4 linked regions of the Elephas maximus indicus genome follow. The protein of the gene in region 1 purifies or fractionates together with the protein of each later gene. This does not show direct contact. Links are inferred from orthologs where the notes say so. Each region holds a gene or a part of one and is shown in the gene's direction. Other genes may lie near its edges. The genes, in order: CUL2, CAND1, COPS7A and GLMN.

Region 1 (7,592 bases):
AATCTACTCCTTCCCAGAGAATGATTCCCTGTCTCCCTTCCCACTCCTGCCCAAGGAGTGATGGGCATTTAGGTTGTTTCCACTTTTTTGCTATCGTGAATAGTGCCGCAATGAATGTAGGTGTTCAAATCCACCAGCCGCTCTTTGGAAACTCTATGAGAATAGTTCTACTTTGTCCTACAGGGCCACTGAGAGTAGGAATCAATTTGACAGCAATGGGTTTGGTTTCTGAAAAATTGCTTTGGTGTATCTTCTACTTCTAATGGATCTTTATGCATGCATGATTTTGGAATATCATGCATTGGTCATTTAGAAAATATTAGTTTAGTCTGTCATGCAGATCTTTTATATGTAGACATATTTCATCATACCTATTGCTGCTGAGTCAATTCCTACTAAATGTGACCTCATAAGACAGAGTAGAACTGCCCCATAGGTTTTCTAAGGCTGTAATCTTTATGGAAGCAGACTGCCATATCTGGAGGGGGGGGTTTGAACCATGGACCTTTTAGTTAGCATCCTAGTGCTTAACCACTGCACCACCAGGGCTCCTTAAAAATGTGTTTCATGGAAAAAAGCAGCTAGTTCAGCTCACTCCCAATCACAAAAGTGCTCTTCAAGACAACCATTATACTTTGGTACACATCGCAAGTGCATGTGTACTTTCCATTTATTCGCACAGAATATTAAAAAGACATGTACTCAAGGGTCAAAATTTAATAAAATTAATACTTTTTGCTACATCATCAAGGATATTCCTAAGTCAATATTCTTTTTTAAAAACTGAGAGTGTGTAGTAGTGAAGAATACAAGGGTCCAGTGACGATTAAGACAGTTTTTTTGTCACCATCCTAATTCCTGCTAAGGTGCCAGCAGTATTATCATAGTTTTTGCACTATCAGTGCTCATGTTAAACCCAGTATTAAAAGACAGAGAACACGCTATATGATTGGAAAATGGTTTTTACCTCAAGGATCTTTGAAAAGGTCTCAGTGACTTCCAGAGGGTCTCCAGATCACACTTTGAGAACCACTGATTTAGAAGAGGATGAGCATGTGAGAAAAGGTCATATAATGGAAACAAATTGCTAAGTTAAAATAAAGAGTACAGCGCTCAAGTATCAGGAGAAGCGGATTAGAAGAGGAGGAAGATTAACAGGATTTATCAGATAAGGAAACAGGATTTATAATAGGCCTTTAAGGAGTGGTAGAAATAGATTCGATGCAGTGAACATTAATGACAGAAGACCAGACGAGTTGTGGAACGACATCAAGGACATCATATATGAAGAAAGTAAAAAGTCATTAAAAAGACAGGAAAGAAAGAAAAGACCAAAGCGAATGTTAGAAGAAACTCTAAAACTTGCTCTTGAACATAGAGTAGCTAAAGTGAGTGGAAGAAAGAACCAAGTAAAAGAGCTGGACAGCAGATATCAAAGGGTGGCTTGAGAAGCCAATGAAACGTGCAAAGGCCTGGAGTTAGAAAACCAAAAGGGAAAAACATGCTTGTCATTTCTCAAGGTGAAAGAACTGAAGAAAAAATCCAAGTCCCAAGTTGCAATATTGAAAGATTCTGTGAGTAAAATATTAAACAACTCAGGAAGCATCAAAAGAGGATGGAAGGAATACACAGAGTCACTATACAAAAGAGAATTGGTCTACTTTCATCCATTTAGAAGGTTAAGTTTTTTTTTTTTTTTTTATATGATCTAGAACTGATGATATTGAAGGAAGAAGCCCAAGCTGCACTGAAGGCTTTGGTGAAAACAAGGCTGTAGGAAGTGATGGAATACCAGTTGAGATGTTTCAACAAATGAATGTAATGCTGGAAGTGCTAACTCCTCTATGCCAAGAAATTTGGAAGACAGCTACCTGGCCAACTGAGTAGAAGAGATGCATATTTATGCCCATTACAAAGAAAGGTGATTGAACAGAGTGCAGAAATTATTGAACAATATCATTAATGTCCTAAGCAAATAAAATCTTGCTGAAGATAATTCAAAAACAGTTGTAGCAGTACATAAACAGGGGAGTGCCAGAAATTCAAGCTGGATTCATAAGAGGACATGGAACAAGGGATATCACTGCTAATGTCAGATGGATCTTGGCTGAAAGTAGAGAATACCAGAAAGATGTTTACCTGTGTTTTATTGACCTTGCAAAGGTATTCTGCTCTGTGGATCATAACAAATGATGGATAACATTGTGAAGAATGGAAATTCCAGAACACTCAACTGTGTTCATAAGAAACCTGTTGTCTTAGTTATCTAGTGCTGCTATAACCAAAATACCACAAGTGGATGGCTTTAACAAAGACAAACTTATTCTTTCACAGTCTAGTAGGTTACAAGTCCAAATTCATGGTGTCAGTTCCGGGGGAAGGCTTTCTCTCTTTGCCAGCTCTGGAGAAGTTCCTTGTCCTTAATCTTCCCCTGGTGGAGGAGCTTCTCAGGCACAGGGACCCCTGGGTCCAAAGGACATGCTTTGCTCCTGGTGCAGCTTTCTTGGTGGTATGAGGTCCTCCCTTCCCTCTGCTGTGTCTCTCTTTTTTATCTCAGGAGATTGCCTCAAGACACAATACAATCTTGTAGATTGAGTCCTGCCTCACTAACACAACTGCCGCCCATCCATCCTCATTAACATCATAGAGGCAGGATTTACAACATATAGGAAAGTCTCATAATACCAAGAATCATGGCCCAGACAAATTGAAACGCATATTTTTGGGGGGACATAATTCAACGCATGACACCTGTACATAGACCAAGAGGCAGATGTTGGAATAGAACAAGGGATATTGCGTGGTTTAAAATCAGGAAAGATGTGCAACAGTGTTGTATCCTTTCACCATACTTATTCAATCTGCATGCTGAACAAATAATCTGAGAAGCTGGGCTATATGAAAAAGAATGGGGCATCACCATTGGAGGAAGACTAACCTGCAATATGCAGGTGACACAACCTTGCTTGCTGAAAGTGAAGAGGACTAGAAGAACCTACTGATGAAGATCAAAAACTACATAAAGAAAACAAAAATCCTCAGAACTGGACCAATAACCAATATTATGATAAATCATAAACAGAGAAAATATTGAAGTTGTCAGGATTTCATTTTACTTGGATCCACAAACAACACCCATGACAGCAGCAGTGAAAAAATCAAAGGACACATTGGTTTGAGCAAATGTACTGCACCAAATTTCTTTAAAGTGTTAGAAAGCAAAGATGTCTCTTTGAGGACTAAGGTGTGCCTGACCCAATCCACGATATTTGCAATCCTTTCACATGCATGGTAAAAATGGACAATGAATAAGGGAGACCAAAGAAGAATTGATGCTTTTGAATTATGGTGTTGGCAAAAAAAGTTAAATGTATCGTGGACTGTCAGAAGAATGAACAAATCTGTCTTGGAAGAAATACAGCCGGACTGCTACTTAGAAGCAAGGACAGGGAGACTTCATCTTAAGTATTTTGGACATGTTGTCAGGAGGGACTAGTCCCTGGAGAAGAACATCATGCTTGGTAAAGCACAGGGTCATGGAAAAAGAGGAAGACCCTCTACAAGACGTATGAACAAAGTGGCTGCAATTAATGGGCTCAAACAGCAGTGATTGTAAGGATGGCGCAGAACCCAGCAGCGTTTCGTTCTGTTGTACGTAAGATCGCTAGGAGTTGGATTCCACTTCAGGGCACCTAACAACAAGAAAACAGCGTGGAAGAAAGAAGCTTGGGAAGGAAAGGCTTGCGCAAAACGTTCAAACGAACCATATACGAGAAGCTCTTGTGGAATAAAGCCGGGCTCGGCTGCTAACCAAAAGTTCAGCAGTTCGAATCCACTAGCTGCTCCTTGGAAACCTAGGGGCAGTTTTACTCTGTCCTGTAGGGTCGCTATCAACGAGGTGTTTTTTTTGTTGTTCCCTGGGGTACTATATATTTAAGATGATAGATCAACCTGTATTTTGTCAACACTTCCATTTAAAATTCTTAGAAAAACCCTTCAGATGGATAGGGAGGGAAGGGAGGCAGGAGTCGGTCTTCGATAAACCTGTGTTTTGTCTACACTCCCTTTTAAAAATCTTAGAAAAACCCTTCAGACGGATAGGGAGGGAAAGAAGGCGGGGAGTCGGTGATCAGGGCTATGAAAAGAATTTCCTTCATTGAAAACACAGTTATGCCCCTCGATGTGTCGATAGACTGAAGCCCACTAGAAAAGGACTACGTCGGAGAGAAAAGGAGTTTTGCTAATATGTTTTTGATGACTCGATAAGCCTGAAGTGGGCGGCAGCAAAGAGACTGAGGTATTTTAAGATATCCATTGAGGCGTAAAACGACTCAAAGGAGACGGCTGTCATTGAGAACAGCCCTCTGCCGTATTTTTACGAGCAGTCTCAGAACTTGGTGAGCTCTGCGTCGCCCGAGCTCGGAACCGGGCGGGCCCCTCAGCCAGCCGGCCCCGCGGAGACTCGCTCCCAGCCCTCGCCGTGGCCGTTCGCATTTGCACTAAGGCAGGTGCTTCGCGCTTGCCGTATCGTGGACTCTACCATCCCCTCCTGGGGGGGAGCTCGGGAAGCGGCGGAAGAGGGAGAGCCGGCGGGCGTGTGTGGGGCAAACCCGGACGGTCCGGAGGACCAGGGCTTAAAACCCGTACCCGGCCCTCCGGGCCCCGTCTCCCCGCCCCGCTCCTTCCGCGATCGAGGCCGGGGCGAGCTCGGGCTGTGCTGCTTTCCCGCGCGGGCGTGGGTGAGTGTCCAGCGCGCGGGCTCCCGGGCTTCGTGGCCCGTCTCCCCCGCGCCTGCTGCGCCGGTGGCGGCGGCCGAGCGGGGAGGCGGCCTCTGCCGCACAGTAATGGCAGCGCTGTGAGCAGGCGAACGCGAGCTGACAGCCGCCGCCGCCGCCGCCATCGCCATCGCCCGGGCCTTCGTCCTTCCCTCCTCCGCGCTGGCTCCCCCTCCCTCCGCCCGGGGCCCTCGTCCTGCTTCTGCAGAAGGTAGCACCGCTGCGGCCCGGGGACTGGGCTGCAGGCGCCTGGAAACTTCCTTTCCCGGCGAATGGGCGGCGGGGATGGGGCGGGGAAGAGGAGTTGGGGGCGACGGGAGGGGAAGGTGGGTGATGGAGGGGCGGCCGGGGAGGACGCGTCCTGGACGCGGACCCGGCGCCCCAGGGCGCTGGCCCCTACGCCCAGTCATCCCCGGGACTGGATCCCGGGCCTCCCCAGGCCGGCCTTGGCCGCCCCTCCCTCGGCCCCATTTTCCTCCGAAGGAGGGAAGGTGGGAGTGCGTGTTCTCCTTTGATTATTAATGTGTCACGCGGGCACACAGCTCGGCGTTTGGGTGGGAGGGGGCGCATCCATCTCATGCATCCTTACTACGAGTGTTTTTACTTTTGTTTCCACAGACAGCAAAGATTAATTGCTTTGGGGAGAATACCCTACGTGCAGGTTGGACCTTCTGTCTCAACATTTAGGGTTTAGTGAAATAAGATCCTCGCTCTCTTTGGAGCTCTTGCACACATTCCCCACTGCCCCACAAAAGCGCGCATGCAAATGAGACTTCAGTGAATTCCACGCTCTTATCCTTAAATCCTCCCCTTTGACCCACGGGTTACTCTTAACAAGTTGAAGGCTCAGTACCCTGGAAGTTTAAAGTTTGAAAAGAATAATATAGAAACTATTAACATTACTATAGACTCTTTTGACTTTCCAATATAAAAACATTTGAACTAGATCTGTCCCAAACCTACATTCATATACATTCATAGTAAAATTTGGAAAACAATCAAGTTTGTTTTTCTGTAACGTCTCCTGACTACAGAACGCATTAAAAACATTCAGAGACTCATGCCTACTCTTTGGAATCTCACCTTACTTTCCAAGACAGAGACATGAACACGTTTGCCCAAATGCATCGTTTGGAAGGCTCTGCCATCAGAGTCACAGATGAAATAACATGTATGCAGTGCTTTGCGTTATACCTTTTAAGATGCTGTTTATGAGTTTGGGGAACATTTCCACAGTGCGCATGCACTTTGTATGTGAAGAATACTTTTTCTACTAATCTTTTTAATATTTGAATGTTCACTCTCCACCCTCTTTGCTGATTTGCAATGTCTTATATATATGAAGATTATCTATGTCTTTTCTCCTCACCAGCATGTCACTAAATTGAATGTTGTGAACCTTTTTAAAAGTCAGTTCTACCCTGTCTACCAACTAACAAATATTTATTAAGCATCCGGTTTGTGTGCCAAGTAATGTTGCGAGCATTAGGGATAAAATAAATAAGACACGTGAGATTTCTGCCCTCTTGGTGCTTTAATTCTGGTGGGGAAAGGAAGAGACAGGCAATAAATATGAAATGAAAATAATTTCAGAGAATGATAACTGCTATGAAGGAAATAAAATAGAGTTGTAATAGTGATAGGGAGAAGACCTCTGAGACGTCTTTGACCTGAGGCCTGAAATGTGAGAAGTTTTGAGGGAAGAGTGTTCTTGTCTGAGGGAACAACAAATGTAAAAGGTGGTATAGAGCATGAGTCCCTTGAATTGAAAGAACCTCAGTGAAGGTGGACTCTAGTAAGTGATAACAGATTAGATCATAGCCAGGGGCCAGATCATATGAGGTCTTATTGTCTGAAGAAGATTTGCTTTTATTTTTAAAGTACATTGAAAGCTAATGGAATTATCATTCTTGTTTTTTAAAGCTGGGAGTGGTACGGTTTCATTTACAACTTAGAAAGGTTGTTCTGGCTGTAGGGAAGATTGGATAAAAGTAGAAGAGAAACTGCAAGACCAGCTTGAAGGCTGTGGCAGATTTAAATACAGGAGTGGCTGTGAAGTGTTAAGTAAAAAGGTTTGAGGTAGATCTTCTTGGTGTTGGAGATATATTTATTGAACTTGTCATAGATTGGATGAGAGTGCATTTGGTTTGGAGGAGGTAACTTCTCTTTGGCTTCGGCAGCTAGAAAATGGTCATGCTGTGTATTGAGATGGGGAGAAGATGAGGGGATGGCCGTACGGCTGGACTGGACTTGTTAAGTTGGATCCATGAGAGATTCAAGTGGAGGTGGAAAGCAGGCAGTTGGATATACAAATCTGGAATTAAGTGGAGAGGTTAAGGAGTCCTTCATTTATTCAACAAATATTTTTTAAGCCACAGCTGTGGACCAGGCAGTGTGAATATAGTAGTGAAAAAAAAGACAGAAATCTCTGCCTTCATGGAACTTAAATTCTAATAGGGAGAAAAAGGCAGAGATGGGAGTTACCAGTGTTTATCTGTTTATTTATGTTTTGAAGAGAAACTATATTTACGTGGTTCAAAATTTAAAATGCCCAGAGGGTACAGAATTAAAAGCCTCCCTGCACTTCTTGTCCCTTCACTTAATTTTCCTTTGTTTCCAAACAATGTTAGCCATTTCTTATGTATCCTTCCAAAGATATATTTTGTGCACATATAAGCAAATATGTAGATATTCTTTTTTCCACTTTGCAAAAATGATGGTATATTTTACCTGCTTTGACACCTTGTATTTTTTAAGGTTTTACGTAGTACTTAAGAGTTATGAAACAGAAGATTACCTAAAGAAAGAATGTAGCAA
Region 2 (7,419 bases), about 120 Mb from region 1:
GTACATAGGACCACTCTGAATTGGAAGTGAGTCGATGGCAGCTAACGAATGATGATGACAAGGTTGAGGAACATGTTTTGTTCATCTTTGTATCCCCAGTATAGTTCTTGGCACAGTGTAGGCACTCCATAAATGTTCGTGAACATTTGTTGTGTTACTGGTTGTACTACTGTGTGTACAGTTGTACTACTGGTTAATATTGGAAAGGCCTCTCAACAGCTTCGAGAACTCCATTTTTCTGATCCTCTGAAACTTCTAACCTCAACTCTCTATTGTGGCCATTGAATGGGAGGAGAACTCTTTGAGGTTATCCTTATCTGGACTAATTTCCCTTTGCAGCTAAAATTAATTCAGCATTAAAACATACTTAAACAAAAGCTTTTTTCCTCTGTGTTTGGTAATATGCTAAAATACACAAACTAAATCTCCAAGTAGTTGAGAATACAAAATGAAATTAAGTTCTATTGAGTGCTTATCATGAATTTGTTGTTGTTGATGTGTGCTAGCGAGTCAATTCTGACTCATATTGACCCTAAAGGGCAGAGTGGAACTGCCTCGTAGGGTTTCCAAGACTGTAACCCTTATGGGAGCAGACCGCCGCATCTTTCTCACAAGGAACAGCTGGCGGGTTACAACTGCCGAGTTTTCAGTTAGCAGCCAAGTGCTTAACAGTTGTGCCCCCAGGCTCCTTATTGTGAATTTGGCCCTGGTTAAGTACTTAAAACACCACCTATCCATCACTTTGTTGTACTGTGGTGGCTTGCATGTTGCTATTTCAAATACCAGCATAGTCACCCATGGTGAACAGATGTCAGCGGAGCTCCCACAGTAAGAAAGACTAAGGAGAAAGACTTGGTGATCTACCTCTGAAAATTAGCCAATGAAAACCTTATGGATCACAACTGAACATTGTCTGACTCCCTTACTTTGGACACAACATCAAGAGGGATTGATTGTTAGAGGAAGTCATCATGTTTGGTAAAGTAGAGGGCCAATAAGGGCATGAGAGTCCCTCACTGAGATGAATTGGCACAATAGCCACAATGATTGATTCAAATATGCTGATGATTGTGAGGATGATGTAGGACCTGGCAACATTTAGCTGTGATTCATATAAGGTCACCATGAGTCAGAGTTGGTAGCTAACAACAAAGTACTTGAATGAAGCAGCAGTGTTTTAAAGATGGTACATGCTCTTACTGAACTTATACTCTAGTTGGAGGCTAACATACAAACACTATCATTAGTTCAAGACCCTAGAAAGGGGGATTCTAGACTCAAGACTCCAGACCAGGAGAAACATTCTAGTCTAGTGGTTTGGAGTATGGGCTCTGAAGCAAACTGCCTGGGTTTGAATCCTGACTGCACCTTGTTGGTGACTTTTAGCAAGTTACTGAATATCTTTGTATCTCTCGTACTTAAAGCGTGGGTAATACCAATCTCATGGGCTTTTATGAGGATTAAATGAGTTAATACACTGCTGGTCCATAAACAATTATTATTATTATGTACAAAGACTTGGAGTTGGGTCTTTGAGGGATTCAAAAATACATTAGTGGGAGCAATTCCTGTATTAGAACAGTGGAAGAAATGTCAAAAGGTTAGGGTCAGATGAAGGAAATCACTGATTGCCAAAACATTTTGCCTTTATTCTGTAGTAGAGAGTCGATGACCGTTTTAAGCAGGTACTATAAAAACAATGTTTTAGACAACTCTATATTGTCTTCGAGTCGAATTGATGGGTTTGGTTTTTGGTTTTGGTTTATACTCGCTGCGTAGAATGGTTTGGAAATAAAAAAACCAAACCCAGGGCTGTCGAGTTGATTCCGACTCATAGTGACCCTATAGGACAGAGTAGAACTGCCCCACAGAGTTTCCAAGGAGCACCTGGTGGATTTGAACTGCTGACCCTTTGGTTAGCAGCCACAGCACTTAACCACTATGCCACCCGGGTTTCCTGGTTTGGAAATAAGGACAAATAAAAGGCTGAGAGAATATAATAGCTAACTTTCATTAGACACTTTCCTGGACCTTTGTAAGTGTGCAAGAAATATTAGTTATAAGTTTCATTTTTATGTTCCAGGCAATTCGCTAAGCTCTTTATATGAAGTATTTTATTGAAGTCTCAAAACGACCTCTGATGGTCATTGTTTTACCCATGAAGAAACTGAGGCTCAGTGATTAAAGTGGATTGCCTAAGATGGCTAGTAAGGTGCAAAAACACGATTTATATTCAAGCTATCTACCTCCAAATATTATAGTTCAGCTGGAAACTGATAAATGAAAGGATTTATACACACACACAAAAGACAAACATGTCTTGGTGTCTGATTGGATACAGGCTATAGGAAAGGGTTACCACCAGATAACTGGCATTGCAAGCGATGGGGTCCACAAGAAGAAAAAAATGACCTGCTAGGTTGTGTATGTGATGTGTGTGTGTAGTTTGTGTGTGCAGTTTATATTATAAATTGTGGAAAGGCTGTTCAGAGCTGAAGGGAAATGTGGCTGCAGCGATTACGTAAATTTGACGAAATAGGCCCTCATGATGGCCGAATTGGGTGAAATAAGGAAAGAGACATGGCATGAATGGGGAGGAAAATAATATTAAAGTATAACGGTACACGGGAGTAGATAACAGTAATGAGGGAAAATTTAGGTATTGTACTATGATGCCAGATCATGCTTCATCTGTTTTAACATTGTTAAAAAAAAAAAAAAAATTTTTTTTTTTTTTTTAATAACAAACCCAGTGCCCTCGAGTCGATTCAGTGCTTGGCTTTTTAGAAGACATTCAGTATCTGGTGAAAGCATCAAAGAACAGTAAAGAAACGTCAGGTTGGTTTTATCTGGTTTGACGTACATGGAAGTACAAGCCTATTGAAAGGATTTTTTGTTTTGTTTTTAACAGGAGTAGCTGAATGAGATTTTTTTTTCCTCTTCACTGGGCTATTTTCTTTTAGAAAGGTCTGTCAGCTTGCTCTAATCCCACCTACCTCAGACCCACATCAAATTTTTAGGTGTTGACGCCCAGTTGACAAAATTCATGTAAAAATCCCAAATGTTGAGCAGATAAAAACTTGGATAGTAAAACAGAAGATTTCATATCTAACCTTGATGACTGTGTTTGTCCGAATGAACAAGAAAATACACAACTGCAGGATTATGAAGTCAACAAAAATTGACTACAGAAGATGGTCTTTTAGCTGTTCTGAATAGGCTCCGAATACAATTATTTGTAGTTAGCCCATCAGTCTTCTAAGGTCCTGCTTGCCTCAGAAAGGTGGCTCTACGGAGAGAAGGAATGAGGCTACGGTCACACTCGGATTAGTACTAGATGTCGCTACTAGGCCTCTGCCAAGAACTCCGAAGTCCATGGATCCGTAATGCGCCTGCCCAAACCGGAGCAGTTTCGCTCTGCAAACATCCCTTAACAACAAATACGTCCACTACAGGAAATCCCAATCCGCAGCAGAAACACACCCCACGCTAATCCTAAGGTTTTATCCAGCGGTACTGCCTCCCTAGCCTGCAAATCCCAACATTCAGTTCTCCCATGGGAGCCAATAAGGAAGCTACAAGTTCCTGCAGCCAATCACATCCTGAGCCAGTGTGCCTCTCCTACTGAATTCTGGGATTTGTGGTTTTCACGTGGCAACACTACACCACGGTGGTTAAGACAATGTAGGCCGGGCGTCCGATTCGAAAGGAAAGCTTCCTCTAATAATTCTTCTGTTGGTCCTAGGCTAGCCCCTTAATTAGCATTAGTCCCAGGCGTTACAGTCATTAAAAATCGTAAACTTATTCTCTTAATGCTATATAGAAAAAATTCTCAAGTATTTTCAGATTACGGCCCTCTTGTCCCATTCGCCTGCCGTCCTTTAACCGTCGCCTTATAGTCTCGCGAGAACAGCTCCTTTTAGTCGCTGTCATGCCTCCTGAAAGGCCGTTCACGCGAAGACTGACATCGGTATCAGCCAACAGGATTGCTCTTTAACTAGCAGCTCTAAAGCGTGCGTGGGGAGATCTTAGTGAACCTTGACCCCGGCTCTCGGTAGCGTCCCGCGCCTGCCACCCCCGCCCTCGTAGTGAAGGAGGCGGGTTTTGGCCACTTGCCCTAAGGAGCGAGTGCGGAGGGAGTGGGAGCGAGACCGGCCAGAGTGAAAGTGCTTGGCTCATCGGTGAGGCCCTGCTGTACTGCTCTGCAGCCCATGAGCTCGTTCTCCCGCGAGCAGAGCCGTCGTTAGGCCGGCACCGTAGCCTTTGCTTCCCCCGGGACGGGCCCTCGCCTCGCCGGGGAGGGGGCTGCCGGTCGAGGCGCCTCCCTAGTCAGCGTCGGCGTCGCGCTGCGATCCTGGAAGCGGGAGCCGCCGCAAGCGAGAAGAGGAGCCCCAGCAGCGGCGGCGGGCAGCAGCTGCAGCGCCAGCGGGCGGGATCGTGGCCGTCAACATGGCGAGCGCCTCGTACCATATTTCCAATTTGCTGGAGAAAATGACATCCAGCGACAAGGACTTCAGGTGAGGCTGAGATCCTTCCCTAAACCTGCATCTGGACCCCCCCCCCCCCCCGTCTGCGGCCCTGGCCCTCATCGTTGGCCTTGCCCCACCTCTTCGGCCGTAACTGGTTTCCTTGCTTCCCCAAGGTCTCCAGCCCACCTCACAGCTCCCTGATCCCCTCAGGCCCCTTTTCCTCCCCACCTTCCGATCCTCCCATTCTTTTCTTTAGGCCGTTGCCCGCCACCGGCCTTGGGCCCTTCCTTCTGCGTCCCCAAACGCCCCCACCACATTCCCGGCGTCCGGGACGTGATCCTCGCGACCCAGGTAGCGCGAAGGGCGAAAACACCTACGACTGTGGGGAAGGGGGTTGCTCTAGGCCTGGAGACCGGACAGCGGGGCCTACCCGCCGGCCCGCCCGAGGCGCTAGGCCTCTTTTGCTAGCTGGGGCCGAACCTGCTGCCCACTCGGGGATCCACCAGGCGCCTTCTGCGGGGGCGTGAGAGGGCCTGGCTGGCTTCTGCTTAAACTGTTAACTTTTTTGGAGCTTTTCGCGGGTTGGGTTATAGACTTTTTCTTTGTATTATTCTCCTGGTGAAGGTGGGAAGAAGGGGGAGGGGGAGCCAGGATGGAGGAAACTTGGCTGCTACGGTTTTCCCGCCAGCATCTCTGTCAGTTTCGCTTGGCAGGTTAAAGCCAAGCAGGAACTCGGGTTTTCAGTCTCAAGTCCTTGTATCCAAAATCACTGCCAGAGGAGTGAATCGCTGAACGTGAAACGGAAAAGTCAACCGAGCAAATATTCTTGTTGAAAGAAGGGGTTTTCTAACCTGGGACTGGTGGTTAATGAAGCTGTTTCGTAGAGGTTAAGTTCCGGGGGATTTGAACTGTCGGTTCCAAATTCTTGATAACATGAGTATTGAAGAATTATGTTTTCACGAATTGCCTTGGTTTCTTTCTTGCACTACAGTTATTGTTAAGTGTCTGCCTTCCATCTCCTCACAGATAAGCTCTCAATCTAAAAAAGCTTTTCATTTCATTGTACTTAGGTTTTCTTCTCCGAAGTTTTGTAGTGGTCATAATTCGTGTGCATTTTAAAAGCACGAACAAAGTCTCCAATTAAAATTGTGGCCGAAGAGCATACTTTTTTCTGGCAACTGTACACCTGAAACGTGTGAAACCATATTGACCAGGAAGAAACTGCTCAGTTTGTTAATAGAGAGCCATTAGTAAAGTTAATGGTTGTTTTCCTAATTAAATTAACATATTGTTGTCGTTGTTAGGTACCAGCCAGTCGGTTCGGACTCATAGCGACCTTATGCACGACAGAACAAAACACTGCCGGGTTCTGTGCCATATAGTGGTGTATTAAAACTGCCAGTAGAGTTTGGTTCTGTGACTTCAAAACCAAATAAGATTTTTTAAAAAAAAGTTTTGCTATCTAAGGAGTTTTTAAGTATTGTATTTGAAACTTTTAAAACCCAGTTTGGAAATACTAAAGATTTCAGTGTTGGGACTTTGGAAGTGACATGTTTATTTTGCATATTTTAGAATTTCAGATTTGTGTAGTTCTAGGGCCAAGATTAATTGGGAGAAATGAAAGAAAAAAAAGTATTAAAATGCTGTTTGATTCTCTTTGGAGCTTTGCTTGCTTACATTGAGATTTGATATAAATATTTGAATATACATAACTTTAACCTGCATAAGGTGTGTGGTGTGATTTTTCTTTCTGTCTGTTTGGTTCGTCCTGTATCTATGAGTCAGAATTGACTCGATAGCAATTAGCTTTTGATATAAGTGCTAAATTCCATTCTGATTGTGTTCAATTTCAGCGTAAAGGTAGCCCTTTCCCTATAGTGACCCAACCCAAAAACCCACTGTAGTGGTACAATTTTATTCAAATATTCAGAATAGTGTATAGGTAATATGTTTAGGAAGACTAAAGGAAACACTGGATGTGACGATATTGCATATGTGATGATTGACTGTGAAGTTTCCTTAAATAAACTTTATTTTTAAACTTATTGTAGTAAAGGAAAAACACACATTTGTTTTTTTCTATAAACCGGATGTAAGAAATACTATTGCTCTGAAGCTATCTGTAGTCAGTGCTGAACTTTATAAGGATTATCTACCAACTTGGGTTTTAATGAATCAAAACGTTGCTTAGATGATTGGTTATTCCCACAGAGTTATAATATTGATACAGATATTTCTGAGAATGGTGAATATTATAGAAAATATATATAGAAACAGTAAAAGGCCTCTAGTAATTTCGCATCATTAAGGTATTTTTACAAACGTTACTGTAAAGACATATTTGTAGTACACTCTAGCCATCCACTTAACAGCCAGGTCTTCGGACTAAAGTGCAGTGTTTTTTAAATTATAGACATTTAAGGATTAAAAAAAAAAAAAAAGGATTAGTCGAAATGGTGTGCATTTGAAGTCAAGTATATTGAAGATTTTTCCATATATTTTCAGCACAGATATTTATTAAATACATCTTTTTAAGTTTTAATTATTTAGGTGCCAGTAACATGATTTTGTCCCCTGTGAGTGTTAAAATACTTTATGTCTGAAATCTTGATGATGAGGGGTGATTAACATTATGGAGTACCTGACAGGTGCATTGTGCTTGTGCATTGTGCTAACCAAAAGGTTGGAGACTTGAATCCACCCAGAAATGCCTGGCAAGAAAGTCCTGGTGATCTGCTTCTGAAAAATCAGCTACTGAAAGCTCTATAGAGTACAGCTCAACTCGGCCAACTTGGGGTCACCAGAAATCAGAAGTGACTCCACAGCAGCTGGTTAACATGTGCAAAGCACTCTACCTGTACTACGGGGAAGGGAAAAAATGCTGCCCAAAGGAAAACATTTGTGTTCTCCCTGTGGTAGAATCCAAAGAGAATTAGACCTACTAATCACG
Region 3 (7,793 bases), about 54 Mb from region 1:
TGTATCAGTCTTAAGAAGTATGTCTTTACCCTGAATTCATGAATATATTCTTCTATATTATCTTCTAAAAGCTTTTAATTTGCCTTTTACATTTAGTCTGTGGTATAGTAGTGGGAAGTGACTTTTGTATATAGCCTAAGGTAGGAGTTCTCTGTTATATATTGAGGTTTCATATATGTGTAGATCTGTTTGTGGATACTATTCAGTTCCATTGGTCAACTTTTTAAAACCTACACTTGTAATACATTTAAAAGCTTAAATTCTATAGCTTTCAAATAAATCTAAATATCTCTTAGAACAAACACTGCCCTACCAATATACTCTTCTTTAGAGGAGTTATTTTTTTCCATACAGATACCCTATCATCGTAGTGTAATTTATTGAAATGTATGTCCTCTCTCTCCTCGCACCTCTGTCATAATCAAGTGTCTATATATGTGTGAGTCTGTTTCTGGGCTCTATGTTACATTTCAGTGATCGATTTATCTATCCTTGTGCCAATACTACACTATCTTCATTATTATGGTCATGTCCTTCTACCTAGTAAAGCAAGTCTTCCCACCTTGTTCGTCTTCTTCAAGATGCCTTTTGTATATCTATGTAAATTTTATAATCAATTTATCAGTTGCACACATCCACAAAAAAAAGCCTGTTGGGATTTTGAGTGGGATTGTACAGAATCTATAAATCACTTTGGGGGGGATTGACTTCCTTCATGGTATTCAGTTTTCCAATCTATGAATATGATCTATATCTAGATTTATTTTAGGTCTTCTTCACCTTCTCACAATAAATAATTTATAATTTTCTGCATACAGCTCTTATATTTCGTTACATTTATACCTTTGTATTTGATATTGATACAATTGCAAGTGGTAACTCTAAAAATTATTCATCATCAACTGTTATATATAGAAATAGGACTGTCATATATTGATATTTTTATCTTTCAATCTTGCCAAACTCTTGTTAATCCTAGTAATTCATTTCTGGATTATTTTAAATTTTCTATATGTACTATCACATTATCTATTAATAATAAGTTTTGTTCCTTTTGTACCCATTCATTTTATCTTTTATTCCTTTTCCTTATTTCTCTGGCTAGGATCCTCATTACAATATGAACTAGAAGTGGTGATGTGTCTTTTCCTTTACCTGTTTAAGGAAGCTCCCTTCTAGTTTTCTAAAAGATTTTATCACAAACACATGTTGACTTCGTTACATGCTTTTCTGTGTTTTTTAAGATTATATTGTTTATTCCTTTAATCTGTTAATATGGCAAATAAAATGAATGTATTTTCTAATACTAAACCACCCTTAAATTCCTGGGATAAATTCAAGTTAGTTTTGTGTCTTATCTTTTTTGCACAATGCTGGATTTGCCTTGCGAGTATTTTATTGAAGATTTTGTTATCTCTGTTCATGAGTGAGAGTGACCTGTAATTTTATTTCTAGTACTGTCTTTTTCTGGTTTTGTTATTAAAAGTAATTCTGATCCCGTAGAATGAGTTGAAGAGTGTTCTTTCTTTTTCTATTTTCAGGAAAAGTTTATATAAAATTTAAGATGATCTGTACTTTGAAAGTCTGGCACAACTTCCCTGTGTGAAGTCATTCTTTCTTGACTCTTCACACTTCATATCTAATCATCTGCAAATTCTGTTCAGTCTATCTTCATTTTAAATCCAAAATCCAATAGGCAAATGTATATAGAGACAAAAGTTTATTAATGGTTACCAGGGGTGGGAGGGAAGGCGAGAGGAGAACCATTGTTTGGGAAGCAGTAAGTTTCTTTTTATGGTGATGGGAAATTTGGCACCGATTAAGGGTGATGGTTGCACAAGATTAATGTAATTGATATCGCTAAGTTGTACACCTGAAAAATGTTGAACTGGCAAGTGTTGTATTATATATACTTACAACAATGAAGCAAAATTCAACCATTTCTCCCCATCTCCCCCACTACCACCTTGGTCCAAACCACCACCCTCTCTTGCCTGGATTGTTGCAGTAACCTCCAAATTGGCCCTGCTGTTTCTGTCCATGCAGCCATCATATTTTAAACATGTGGGTCAGATTATGTCACCCCTCAGTTCAAATCTTCCATTGGCTGCCCATCTCATTCAGAGGAAGTGCCAAAGTCCATACAGTGGCCCACAGAGCCTGACATGATCTGGCCACTCTGCTCTGTCTGATCCCATCCCCTACTTCTCTCCTTGCTCACTCAGTTCTAGCCACACAGGTCCCCCTGCTGTTTGTCAAACACACCAAGCATGTTCCAACCCCAGGGCCTTTCCACTTGTAACTGCGTGGAACGCCTTCCCCACAAAATCCACGTGACTTGTTCCCTCACATTTTTCAGGTCTCTGCTCTAGTGTCACCATATTAAAGAGGCCTTTCCTGAGTAGCTTATATAAAATAGCAAATCTCTTCTGCATTTCCCATCCCCCTTACCTCATTCTTATTTTTCCTCATAATATTTATCACCCCCTGACCATTCTATGGAAACCCTGGTAGCATAGTGTTTAAGAGCTACGGCTGCTAACCAAAATATCGGCAGTTCGAGTGGGCACTCCTTGGAAACCATATGGGGCAGTTCTACTCTGTCCTATAGGGTCGCTACGAGACGGAACTGACTGGACAGCAACAGGTTTGTTTTTTAGTTTGGGACCATTATATATCTTATTTATGGCCTGCATCCCACCACAAGAATGTAAATACCAAGACGGAAGGATTTTGTCTATGTCCCCAGTGACTAGGACAATGTGTGGCAATAAGAGATGCTCAATATATATTTTTGAATCAACAATGAATATTTTATTATGTGTGTGACTCCTTGGATGTCAGTCAGCTTTTCTAGCTTTAATTCAGTCATCTTGTTCTCTATCATTAGCATTGCCAACACAGCACCTGGCACATGGCCTTGAACATAACTGTCACTTAATAATGAATGAATACTACATCCTGGGGTTTGTGTAAGTTTACTTAGCTCCCATTCTCCCCTTGGAGAGCTTCTTTTTCTTCTGTCACCTCCTCTTTCCCCATTTCTATTCATTTATCTTGTCTTTATCACCTCTACTCCTTTTCCTGTTCTCTCTGCTGTTTTAAACCTCACTTCTTTAGTCCAGCCCTCTCTCATTTCTTTCTCCACATTCACCTCTTGTTCTACTTAGTAACTGTTCCTCATTTTCTTTTCTCCTTGTTCTTGTCTTTCTCTCATAGAGCTGTAAAACATCAGAATCAAAATTAGCCTTAGAGATTCTGTCATATAATCTCTCACTTCGCAGGTACAGAAGAGATCACAAGGTGGCATGATGCTTTGCTTTAAGGCCCCAGCTAGCTTAAGTCTGAATCAGGACTGTATCTCAGGTTGTCCATTTCCTCCTCTCTTCTCTTTTCCTCTCTGCTTTTCTTTCCTCCGTTTCTTAACATAGTCTTAGAATCAGACAGACTCGCATTTGGATCTTAGCTCTACCACTTACTGGTGATCTTTAAGAAATTATTTGTTCCTTAATGATCCAGTGTCCTCACAGGTAAAGTGAGATATTAATAGGCACCTTAAATGCTTTCTGTAAAGACACAGCGTCTTTTTTAAAAAATCGATCCAAAAAACACCTGGTATATAATAGAACAAATGTTGGTTCTTTTCTCCTATAGTTTTAAAGTGATAAGATTGGGCTCATTAAATTCTTTGGTCCCTTCAGACTTTGCATATTTTATTATGCCTTTTATTCCTTCTCGACTTTGTTTCATCTCATCCACTCACTACCACTACTTCTCCTAAAGAAATCTCAGGGTTTTTTTTTTCCCCCTAAAGTATCAAGGTGAAGTGGAAAGACAGCTTTGGATTTGAAAAGACCTGGGTTCCAGGCAAATCCCTGAATTTTTCTGAAGCTCAACTTCCTTATCTGTAAAATGAGAATAACAACATATGCCTCTCTTCCACGTAGGGCCCCCCCCTCCAGGAATTAAGAGTCAACGTATGGAAAGCGTCACTCTCCAAGCACATGTTGTACTCAGGGCAGAGGGGGTCCCGGAGTCTGACTGAGAAGGCAGTAGTTTTAAGAATTCAACAGAATAAAAAATTTAAAAGATGCTCAAACAAAAATAAGCACTCAATACATGTTAGCTATTTTTTTTTTTTTTATTATTTCCTTTCCCTTTTCTACTTCTTTTCCCCTGTTCCTCAAAAAATTAGTGGTTGAACGACCCAGGTGATCTCTGCCGCTCACCTTCTATTATTATTGTCCCCCTTCCTCTTTCATCCTGCCGTTTTTTGTTTTTTCTTCTTTCGTTCTCCCTCTTTCCTTCCACTACAGCTTCCCTCTTGCTCTAGGCACAAGCTGCACCCTGGGTCTCCAGGCCTCCGACAGCTTAGAGCTGACACACAGCCCGACACTCAAAGGGATCGAAGGTTGTCTACCTTTAGCATCCACCGCCCTTTCACCAATAGTTTTATCGAAACAGTGGAAAAAAAAAAAAGGCACAAGTCATTCTTCTCCCTGCAACGAATCAGAGAGTAGGATGCCTGCGTCCCTCACTGGAGCTTCAATGGTCGGAAAGCAGGGCCCAGCATGTCCCGCCCGAAACCTGCCCCTAGGAGCGGAAGTACGGTCGGAAACCGTCCATAGAGTTTAGTAGCTAGAGCGACCCTGGGAGGAGAGGTGGCAGGAAAGGCTCGGAACAGCTGCCGGAGGTGACGGAGCCGCGGCCCCGCCCGGTGCGCTGGAAGACGAAGCTTCCAGGTAGCGGCCCACAGACTCTGACCGAGGGTAGGACGGGCAGTCGTCCGGACCCTACGATTCCAGGGAGGCCTCTTTAAGGAGGGGCGGAGCCACGCGTAAGGGGCGTGGGGGTAAGGTCACGTGGTTGGGGGCACAAGGGGCGAATCGAGGGATCTTCGTTGGTGGGGTGGACACCATGTGACACTCCTTTCCCCTTTGCACCTGTGCCTTGGGGTTCAATGGGATGCACGTGGTGAGGCTTGGGGTTAGCGCCCAGGGGTCGGGGGAGAAGGTAGGTGTGGCATTCCTGTCTCATTCGTGTTCCCATCGAAACGACCAGCTTTAGGATTCCTAGATCCCCGTTCTAACCACTCTATCTCTTGAGTCCTCATTGTAGAAGCGACTCAGTGCCTCTGCAGTTCAGCCCTACCCCCATGATCTTCCCATCCTGCCAGCGTTCAGAGACCTCCAGCTTCACAACGTCTTTCCTTGCAGCTCCAGACATCCTGAGCCCAGCTGCCTCCAACTCAGTGCAGCCATGAGTGGGGAGGTGAAGGTGACAGGGCAGAACCAGGAGCAGTTTCTGCTTCTGGCCAAGTCGGCCAAGGGGGCAGCACTGGCCACACTCATCCACCAGGTGCTGGAGGCCCCTGGTGTCTATGTCTTTGGGGAACTGCTGGATATGCCCAACGTTAGAGAGGTGGGTTCCTGGCCTGGATAGCTCTTAGTGAAGCTTGGGGCTAAAGTTTGAATTTGAGAATGGGTGGGTAATGCTCATTTTGCAGCTATGTAACCATTCAGTTGAATACGAATATGATGATGATGGCAGCTTGCAAAAGTAAGCAAGCAGGTAAACTTCTAAGCTTCCCTTGTGAGATGAAGGATTTGTAAAATCCAGTATTTTTGACTTTTAAGCAAAAGAGCACGTGACTCATAACAGGAGACCTGAGTTCCAGCCTGTCTCCACCAATGTAGTATCTCTTAGTAAACATATCGCTTTGATCAGGTCACTTTTATTTTCTTTCTTGAAAATGGAGATGATATTGATGATATTGCCTTCCTTACCGTTAATGTGGGAATCAAGTGAGATTATGGGAAAGCATAAAGCCTGGTACAGATGGGAGGAGTGAACATACTAAATTAGTATGCCCTGTTCTCCCTCCTTTGCACCATGTGCTGTTCATTTGAGGTAGGTAACGTAGAAGGTGTCTTTTCTCCCAAAGATATCGCAAGTTGCTACTAATACAGTGGGAAAGTTAAGAGTTTAAAAAGAGTGAGTGTTGCCAAGATACATGACACTGTTCAAGTCCTAAGATGCTATGACAGTGGACCAACTGAAGCAAGTTTTTGAAGGCCTGTGATTGAGTCAATGGATTTAGCCTTTTAGGATCACTCTGTGGTACAGAGAAAACTCTTACCTTCTTTCCCTGCTTTCCTCTGCAGTGGAAGAAGTATTTATTGAGTGCCTGTTTAACACTCTGCTAGTCATCTGGGAACACCAGAAAAGTACAAAACATAGTGCTTACCCTTCTGAAGCTTACATTCCAGGTGAAGAGATAGGATGAATGGATATAAGTCTCTAAGCCACTCATTTAGCAAGTATTTATTGAAAGATGCAACTACATGCATAGCTCCGCTAGATCCTGAGCGGAATACCAGAGATTGGGCCTATAATCTTGTTGACAAGAAAGGTATTGCTAGGTAACAAGCTTAGGTGGAGGTTGATTGATGAAGTACCAGTGGTAGGAGGAGAGGACATCTGAGTGGGCTGGACTGGGTGATGTAAGCCTCCCAGGTGAGGTGGGTCTGAAGCAGAGGCCACAAATTCACATGCCTGCCTCAGCCATGTAGCTGTCAGGATGAGTGAGGCTCAGGCAGGAATCTTGATTAGAAATATGAAGCATACTCAGAGGGCCAGACAACACAATTTGCAATGTCTGCTGTGTGTCCTTCAGGTAGTGGGCACTCAATATTTTTAGCCATGAATTTAGGGTAGGAATTGAATAGCAGATGGAGGAAGAGGGCGTTGTGGATTGGGGAAATAGCAAAAAGGCCTGGGGGTGGAAACAAGCCCTTCCTAAGGGGAATGTGTTCAGAGAGACAGAGAGTTCCTTTTGGTGAATGAGAGAGCTAGCATTAGAGCAGGAAGAGAGGACTAGAAAACGGAGTTTAAAACAGGGTAAGGCCGAGACGGTGGAGAGGGAGGCCCTTCCTGTCACTTCTTCTCTTCTCTCCTATTCTTGCAGCTGGCCGAGAGTGACTTTGCCTCCACATTTCGGCTGCTTACGGTGTTTGCTTATGGGACATACGCTGACTATCTAGGTAACCAGAGGGATGGACTGGAGCTCTAGAGTGGTGGAGATGGGAGAAGGGCAATTTCTGGAGGAATTTAGTTGGAAGAAATTCCTGGGGTACTTCATTTGGTTGGATCTCCTAGGTGTATTGGGCCAGGTCAAGACCTGGATTGACATAGAAAACTCAAAAAAAAAGTAAGGGATGGGGGTTAGGGCTTCCTACAGACTGAAATCAGGATTCCCTATACTTTATCCTTTTTTTTCAGCTGAAGCCCGAAATCTTCCCCCACTCACAGAGGCCCAGAAGAATAAACTTCGACACCTATCAGTTGTCACGCTGGCTGCCAAAGTCAAGGTAAGTGGCAGTTCCCCAGCCCAGAGCCAAAGAGGTCTAGAGCATTCTGGATGTTCCTCTGTAAGGGCTCATAGTCAGGGAGTTAGCATTGGGACAGCTTCGACCCAACTATTGCTTCTTCCTGCCCCTCCCCCTGAGGTCTGTATCTAAACTCTCTTACCTGCAGCTTTTTAGGCTGAATGAGTTTTTGTTACTCTCTTGGAAACCCTGGTGGGGTAGTGGTTAAGTGCTATGGCTGCTAACCAAAAGGTCAGCAGTTCAGATCCACCAGGCGCTCCTTGGAAACTCTATGGGGGCAGTTCTACTCTGTCCTATACGGTTGCTATGCGTTGGAATCGACTCAACAGCAATGGGTTTGGTTTGGTTACTCTCTTAGTTTTTTGTTTTATTTTTCAGTCGGCTTAAGTCCTAAGTAAAATGTCA
Region 4 (7,712 bases), on another chromosome or scaffold:
GAATGGTATCCTAAATTACTTTTATGTGTGGTCAATACATGAGATAATCCTAAAACATTCCAAGTACTCTGGGGTAAGACTTATCCTCCAGAATGAAATTAGAAAGAATTAAAGCATAATAGAAAAGTCACCTGTAGAAATGATCCATCTTAAGAAATGATGAACAAATAGGTAGCTATTTGGGAAGTACCGAGTCAGATCTATCTGAATTCACGTAACATCAGGTATACTCGGGGAAAAAAAAAAGAGTATCTGGATCTGAGGACTGAAACTTAAGACCTCTCGGACAGTTCTTGAGATATCTATAAATAGCAATCCTACGCCTCTGAGCCCCTTCTTCTCTAACTTAAACATTCCAACTTCTTCAAGCATTCCTTGTGGGTATGCTTTTTAATTGTAAAATAAAATACATAAAATTCCAAAGGTTATTATAAGGCGAACACCTTTGTAATTACTACCAAGGTCAAGACACAGACCTTTGTTAGCCAACCCAGAAACCTCTCCCTCTTCCCAGAAGTAATCAGTATTTTGATTCTTATTGTAATGATCATTTTGAGTTATTTTTATAATGGTATTATTTAAGTAATATCCCTAGACATTATAGTTTAGTCTTGTCTGTTTTCTTTAATTTGGTATGTCTTAATCTTTTAATCTACAGGTTCTCTCACCATCTTTTCCTTTTTTGTAACAATTTATCCATTGCAGAACCTGGGACATCTGACCTATAAAATCTGAATTTTGCTCATGGCATGCTTGCAGTGCCATTCAATATGTTCCCCTGCACTTCCTGCATACTAGCAGCTGGATTCAGAGCTTCATCAGACTCATGTTTTATTTCCTTGGTAAGACTGTAAGTGTTGTTGATTCTTTCATCCAGAAACTAACCAGTTGCCATTAAGTTGATTTTGACTCATGGCAACCCCACATGTGACCTTTCACTATCAGATTGCCAGGCTTTTCTTCTGAGGTGCCTCTAGGAGGGTTTGAACCTCCAACCTTTCAGTTAGGAGTTGAAAGATTAAGCATTTGTGCCACCCAGGGAGGTGGGAATTGTCAAATAGCAATTCTACCATTTCTTTTTCATTTTTTAGTTGCAATACATTTATAAAGAGCCGCTTCCCCTCAACAGCTATTTGGCTACCTCCATGGATTTTTAACTGTTTCATCATCCTGGGTTGTCTGCTCAAAATACATTTCAGCTCATCTATATTCCTCAAAAATGAACTATAATCTCAGGTTTGTGGTCAGATCAGTGTTGAGTAGAGTTGCAAACTATCACCATTAATTAAACTTTACTCTTGCAGTATTTCCTAAAGCCCAGCCAATAAAACCATGTTGTTCCACAGGGAAAAACCCCCCAAAACAGAGCTGAAACGCATCTACTTTCTTCAATTCCAGGTAACCACCATTTCTCACTTCTTAAAACTACTTTTAGAACCTAAATTCCATCATTTGTTACTTAATGTTTTCTCATTTGTACTTCCAACAAAGATCTGGATTACTCACCTACCAGCTACTATCTGAACAGGATCCTACGTCTCTCTAACCTTTTCCTATACGCCTTTCCTCCCTTGATCAGAATGCTGCACATCACTCTGGCCATCTCCTTTCTTTCTCTGTCTCTCTCTTTTTTTTTTTTTAATCTCTGCAGAACTTTTTTTTTTTTTTACTAAGACCAATAATAAGTAGCACAAAGTGAAAACACTATCCCTTCCAAAAAAATTCACATAAAAATTATGCATAAACCCATTAAAAAAACCAAACCCATTGCCGTCGAATAAATTCTGACTCGTAGTGACCCTACAGGACAGAGTAGAACTGCCCCATAGTTTCCAAGGAGCGCCTGGCGGATTCTAACTACCGGCCTTTTGGTTTGCAGCCATAGCACTTAACCACTACGCCACCAGCGTTTCCTAAATTATGCATAAGATTAGAATAATTCTAAATAAAAACCAATAGATCCACTCCTTCCTCTCTTGAGCCACTTTCGTAGTTTTACATTTCAACTTACAGACTTAATTTCTCTCACTTTTAAGAATGATTGAGAGCCCTGGTGGCACAGTGGTTAAAGTGGTCGACTGCTAATCAAAAGGTAGGCAGTTCAAAGCCACCCTCAGCTCCGAGGGAGAAAGATGTCGCAGTCTGCTTCCGCAGAGATTTACAGTCTTGGAAACGCTATGGGGTGGCTGTAAGTCAGAATCGACTCAATAGCAGTGGGTTTAAGGATGATTACTCAAATATGATTTGTGCCAGACGGGGTAAGTCAGCACAACATTGTCAATGAAAGCTAGGCCCTTGAGAACTAGGCTGGGGGGAACCTTGCAAACTCGCTGGCCCCAACACACATCAGGGTTTGTGTTCAACTCTTTGGTCCTCACAGACTCTCTGCAGGTGAGGAAGGCCTAAACCACATGACAGCAAACAATGTTTCCGCAAACCAAAGGATAACATGTCTCTTTTCTTTGAACTGGCCAACCTCTTTCTTGTTTCAGGGTCTTCACACATATTGTCACCTCTGGCTGTAAGTCATTCGTCACTAGTCTTTGTCTGGTTAACTCCTACTTAGCCTTCAGGTCTCAGTGTAATTATTACTTCTTCAGAGAAGCCTTTCCCTGAACCCCACAGCTACTCTCCCCTCCAGCTCCCAGCTAAAATGTACTCCCATTATTAGTTCTTCCTCATAACATCATAGCCTTTTCCTTTATAACACTTCTCACAATTTGTAAGTATACAATTTATAAGTATACCTTGTGATAATTTAATTGGTGTCTCTCTATTCCACTAAACAAGAACTATGTATGGTAGGTCTACCCTGTTCAACATCATATCCTCAGGGCCTAACACAGATCTGACATATTTTACACTTGGTAGATAATTTTTGAATGAATGAATAAATTAAGACTAAAGCCAATACAAGATCAGTGAGCCTTCATAAAGTGAGAAATTCTAGATATATATTTTAATCCTCTTCATAGGCTATGCATATTCTAGAAACCTTCTGAGACAGGTGATAATATTTTGCTTTTTTAGGAGAAGCCAAGAGACAGTACAAGACAACTTTTTGATGAAAATCTGGAATGGATGTAAACAAAGAACAGAAAAGGCTTCTTGGAGTGACAAAATGAGAAGGTTGCACAGTAAGTCTCTGGCATAGCAGTAATGAGTGAGTGTACCTGAAGAGGTGGAAAAGGAGTACCAGGTTAATACAGGCATGTTTATTGTCACAGACTTCTTTCTACAGATACTCATTAGCAGCCTAGAAATCTCTGGTTTGGTTTGAAACAGTCACTGTGAGAATTTATAGTGCTTCCCAGACTTCTACCTTCCCTCTCACAGTAACTTTCTCTAAGGTAGTACCCATTACGGTTTCAAAAAACGGTTCAATTAATATGAGATAGATAAATGAATGCAGTTCTCCAAGAAGTTCTCGTACCTCTTGGAAGCATCTTCTTGTTTGGAGGCACTTGTGTGTTTGGTACCTACGATTAAAAAAAAAAAAAAAAAGTAGGTCAAGTCTGCACAAAGACATTAGGCACAGGACAGATTCCTGTCCAAATAACTCAAACCGCAGGCCATCTTTTCCACACATTTCATTTCTAATCCTGTACGTAAACCAAAATCAAATGGGAAGAGAATCCAACTTACTTTTGTAAATTAATTATTCCCTAATTTTTCTTGGTTAAAATGTTATCTCTTTTGATTTCTCATGTATCAGAGTTGCAGGAGTCCTGGTGGGACAACCGTTAAGCGCTTGGCTGTTAACCTTGACAGTTCGAACCCACCCAGCCTCTCCATGGGTGAATTTGCTTCCGTAAAGATTACAGCCAAGAATACCCTATGGAGGCAGTTCTATTTTGTCAAAAGGGGCGGAAATCGACTTGAGGGCACCCAACAACATCAGAACAGCTTACTTACGCCCTTCTGAAAATCTGAGTTTTGGAGCAACCTTTTCCTGTCTCCTTCCTGTTGGCCCTCTGGCGGGGGAAAAGGGTCGGGATTGACACCTCAGAGAATCAGGGCACCACAGCAGCCGCACTTCTGTAGCACACTGGGCCGGGGTCCGAAGTCTGCTGCGCACGGCTTGCCGTCGCTGCCCTGGGCACTTGCCCACCTCTGAGGCTGGGGTCAAACCACGACGGGAAAAATCTTGGCACACTCCTGTAAAAGGGTCGGAGTCTGCCCGGGAGATCTTGCCCAGAAGGTGCAAAGGCGAGGGTGGGGAGCTCTACGGTCTCCCCATAGGAGACCCTCTCCCCTGGGTCAGTCTTCCGGGAGCTCCCCGCGCGCCTTGGTGTGGAACTCTGCCGGAGCTCAGGTATTAGGGCCCAAACGTGGCAAAAGACCCTTGTTCCTACCTGCGGCCTTACGGGAGGCGCCGGGAGCCCGGGCCTTGCGGCCGGGAGACAGCTGCCCGGCCCAGTCAGCCATGGAAATGCGTCGTCAGAGCGGAGAGCGGGCGTCGGCGTCTCTCCCCGAGGCCCCGCCTCTCTCACGTAGGCGGGGCGGGGCCGGGGGAGTAGGCTGCGCGGCCTGCGGAGTGGAGGAGGGGACTGAGAGCGGCCGGAGGCTGGGCGGGTGAGTGGACGCGCGGGGGGAGCCCGGGTCGCTGGGCCCGCGGGTGGGTAGTGAGGGCGTAGGGCCCGGCGCCGCGGGCAGACCGGGCCCGCCAGGTGATGGGGGCCGAACGCCAAGGACAGCAGGAATCGGGAGAAATGGCTTCCCTTGGATGCCACCAGCACGCGCGCAGCGGTTTAATCCGCCCTCCAGCGCGCCGCTGTGAGGACCCCGCAGACCCGCGCCGGTAGTGCAGGGCTGGGGCCGGGCCTTCCGGCTGGGAAAAACGATGGTCGATGAGACCGGTTCTTCCGGGGACCGCCGGTGGCCTGGTCTCCAAGTAATAAAGTGATTACAGTGACCAAATTGATTATCTTGGCGACTGCAACTCTTAGAGAGCAATGTCACCGCCAACCCTTGGGCTGGAGGGCATCTGAAGTTTCACCCCATTTGAATGAGTTAAATGTGTTGCTCTCAAATTTTTGTCAGGTGGGACATTAAAAAAAAAAATTCCTAAATGATTATAACTTGGATTTCAGGCCCATCTTTTGGGAATTTTTTCAAAAAAGACAATTTCACTTTATTTAAAAAATCCTTTATAGAGTTCATATTTGCCCTATCTCTTAAGAGTGCTCTAGAGGAGTTTTTTTCCTCTTTCAAAATAATACTCCTAGAAAACTTAAAAATACAACAGAAAGAAAAGCAACATCTTTTAAAAAAATTTTTTTTTAATTTTCTTAAAGCTAACACATTAACTTTCAGTAATAACATTTTTAGCTTTGAAACGTTCCATTTTTTAAATTGTGTGTGCTAATATTATTTTTTTTTTTAATAATGCAACAGAATAGAACAGCTTCCGAATACTGCAGTGTAATGCCACTGTTAACAGTGTGTTTTGTGTTAGTACGTTTCAGCATCAAAACTAGGGGAAAAAACTAGAAATGGCTGTGGAGGAGCTTCAGTCCATAATAAAAAGATGTGTAAGTAATTTTTTCTTTTTAATTACATTTGAGGTCACTCATTGTTTATTTTCTGTAATTCTTGCTTTTATTGACCTGTGAATAAATAGCATGAGGGCTGGAAGGCAAATTGAATTATGTCTCCAAGTGACATACTTATCTAAATAATCTTAATTTTAATGCTGATCCTTTTCATAGATTTCTTTGGTAAAGTAGATTTCGAGATCATTCATTGGGAATATTTACTGGGATCATCCTGATTTTCGTGCATATACTTAATGTGCAACCCATCTGGAATTCAAACAGGTTTCTCTTTTTTCACAGAGATAAAATAAATCAAGTAGTTATTGTATTGAGTTTTTATTTCTGTATGTGTTTTTTTTTTTTTTTTTTGCCAGCAAATCCTAGAAGAACAGGACTTTAAAGAAGAAGATTTTGGCCTATTTCAGTTAGCAGGGCAAAGGTGCATAGATGAAGGGCATATAGACCAGCTATTAGAAATTATCCAGAATGAAAAGAATAAGGTAAGTACTATTTTTGTGTGTACTTTTCATTTTTACTGGGAAGAGAAAACCACATGATGATATTATCTATTTATTTATTTATTTATCAAATGTGTAAGTATCAACTAAGAGCAAAGTATAGTAGAAACTATGGAAGACAAAAAAGGAATTAGGCATATTCATATGTTTTAAGGTCCTTGCAGTCTGGTAGAAGAGGTAAATACTAAACTACTAGCAATAAAGAGGCAGAATAAATGAAATAAGTGCTATAGTAGAAGTAGAAGTAAAACTCTTCAGTAGGAACGAGGATTGCTTGTGGTCTAGAGGAACTAAGAATGGCATTTAAATCATGAATTTACGTAATACAAGTCTCACGCAGGTTAGACACCCATTTTTGGTGACCAGCAAATTATCTTGATTGAGCCAAATGTGTGTGGAAAACCAGATTTTAAGCAAAGCAATATTTTGTATACGTGCATAGAATCTGAAGGAGCCCTGGTGGCGCAGTGGTGAGGGCTTAGCTGTTAACCAACCAGCTGCTCTGCGGGAGAAAGATGTGACAGCCTGCTTCTGTAAAGATGACAGCCTTGGAAACTACGGAGTAGTTCTACTCTGTCCTATAGAGTCAGCGTGAGTCAGAATCGACTCAACAGCAACGAGTTTGATGTAGAATATCATCCAGCTGTGATAGTCTGAGAAATCATTCTTTACAGTGGAAATGGGTCTTGTTTGTGGATCAGGGACAATTGATGTAGAATATCATCCAGCTGTGATAGTCTGAGAAATCATTCTTTACAGTGGAAATGGGTCTCGTTTGTGGATCAGGGACGACTTTTTCCTGGGACACAGTGTTAGAGACACACTGCCAAATTTGTGTCTTTGTACTCCCCTTCTTATGAGTACAAGGCCCCTGAGGAGTGCAAATGGATTGTGCTTGACTCCTAACCTAAAGGTTGGCAGTTTGAACCCATCCAATGGTACCATGGAAGAAAGGCCTGGTGATTTGCTTCTGTAAAGAAATTGCAGCCAAGAAAACTCTGTAGAATAGTTCTGTTCTGTAACACGTGGGGTCACCCTGATAGGACTCAACTCAGTGACAGTGGGTTTGGGATTTTTTTGTTGTTGTTCATATGAATACAGGGAAGACCATCTTCTTCCTAGGAACATGCTCTTTCTTTCATTTATAATACTGTTTATTTATACAAAAGTTTTCTTTTTTGATACCCCAATCTAGTCGTGCTAACCTGTGATTATATCCAAGGCATCTTAATTGGATTTGGGGACCTCATAAAGCTTTGTAATCGCATATTGTTGTAGAATCTCTTATTCAGCAGTTCAGAGGGCAGCCCTTGCTTTTTTCTTTTTTAGCAAAAATAGGATATTTTATTTAATATATTTGCTTTTGATCTGTGTTTATGGCACCTTTGTAACCCCAAATAAAGTAAATTTTGTGGTTTTTACCCTTCTTGGTTTTATTTCTTGAGTATTTACTATATGTCAAATGTCTTTTTAAGTGCTTTGCATCTGTTAACCCATTAGCCTCTCCAGAATCTAAATTCGCTTTGTAGATGAGGAAACGAAATCACTGTGCAGCCTGGTTTCAGAGCTCTTAGCCACTTTGTTCTACTCCAGTTAGCAGCATGTAAGCACTTGCATGAATGTTTTGAGTAGAATAGAGGGGACTGATTGATTGTGA

The links.
Region 2: the proteins of CUL2 (region 1) and CAND1 purify together in Homo sapiens (affinity purification with western blotting; 7 studies listed by BioGRID and IntAct, with this or other methods). This does not show direct contact. The link is inferred for Elephas maximus indicus from reciprocal best matches to the Homo sapiens genes CUL2 and CAND1.
Region 3: the proteins of CUL2 (region 1) and COPS7A purify together in Homo sapiens (affinity purification with mass spectrometry; 3 studies listed by BioGRID and IntAct, with this or other methods). This does not show direct contact. The link is inferred for Elephas maximus indicus from reciprocal best matches to the Homo sapiens genes CUL2 and COPS7A.
Region 4: the proteins of CUL2 (region 1) and GLMN purify together in Homo sapiens (co-immunoprecipitation; 4 studies listed by BioGRID and IntAct, counting the BioPlex papers as one, with this or other methods). This does not show direct contact. The link is inferred for Elephas maximus indicus from reciprocal best matches to the Homo sapiens genes CUL2 and GLMN.

Annotation. Positions count from the first base shown.
Region 1 is NC_064822.1:9,106,316-9,113,907, reverse strand, and holds the start of CUL2 (cullin-2), read left to right. Parts: upstream 1-4,540; 5' UTR 4,541-4,739; intron 4,740-4,784; exon of another isoform or gene 4,785-4,986; intron 4,987-7,592.
Region 2 is NC_064822.1:127,802,813-127,810,231, forward strand, and holds the start of CAND1 (cullin-associated NEDD8-dissociated protein 1), read left to right. Parts: upstream 1-4,041; 5' UTR 4,042-4,449; coding exon 4,450-4,517; intron 4,518-7,419. UniProt on the Homo sapiens protein: Key assembly factor of SCF (SKP1-CUL1-F-box protein) E3 ubiquitin ligase complexes that promotes the exchange of the substrate-recognition F-box subunit in SCF complexes, thereby playing a key role in the cellular repertoire of SCF complexes.
Region 3 is NC_064822.1:63,479,437-63,487,229, forward strand, and holds the start of COPS7A (COP9 signalosome complex subunit 7a), read left to right. Parts: upstream 1-4,630; 5' UTR 4,631-4,769; exon of another isoform or gene 4,770-4,852; intron 4,853-5,216; 5' UTR 5,217-5,259; coding exon 5,260-5,421; intron 5,422-6,967; coding exon 6,968-7,043; intron 7,044-7,281; coding exon 7,282-7,370; intron 7,371-7,793.
Region 4 is NC_064821.1:149,945,027-149,952,738, forward strand, and holds the start of GLMN (glomulin), read left to right. Parts: upstream 1-4,518; 5' UTR 4,519-4,575; intron 4,576-4,582; exon of another isoform or gene 4,583-4,801; intron 4,802-5,214; exon of another isoform or gene 5,215-5,397; 5' UTR 5,398-5,495; coding exon 5,496-5,534; intron 5,535-5,911; coding exon 5,912-6,037; intron 6,038-7,712. Other genes in the region: putative RNA polymerase II subunit B1 CTD phosphatase RPAP2, read right to left, coding at 3,434-3,479, 4,356-4,428.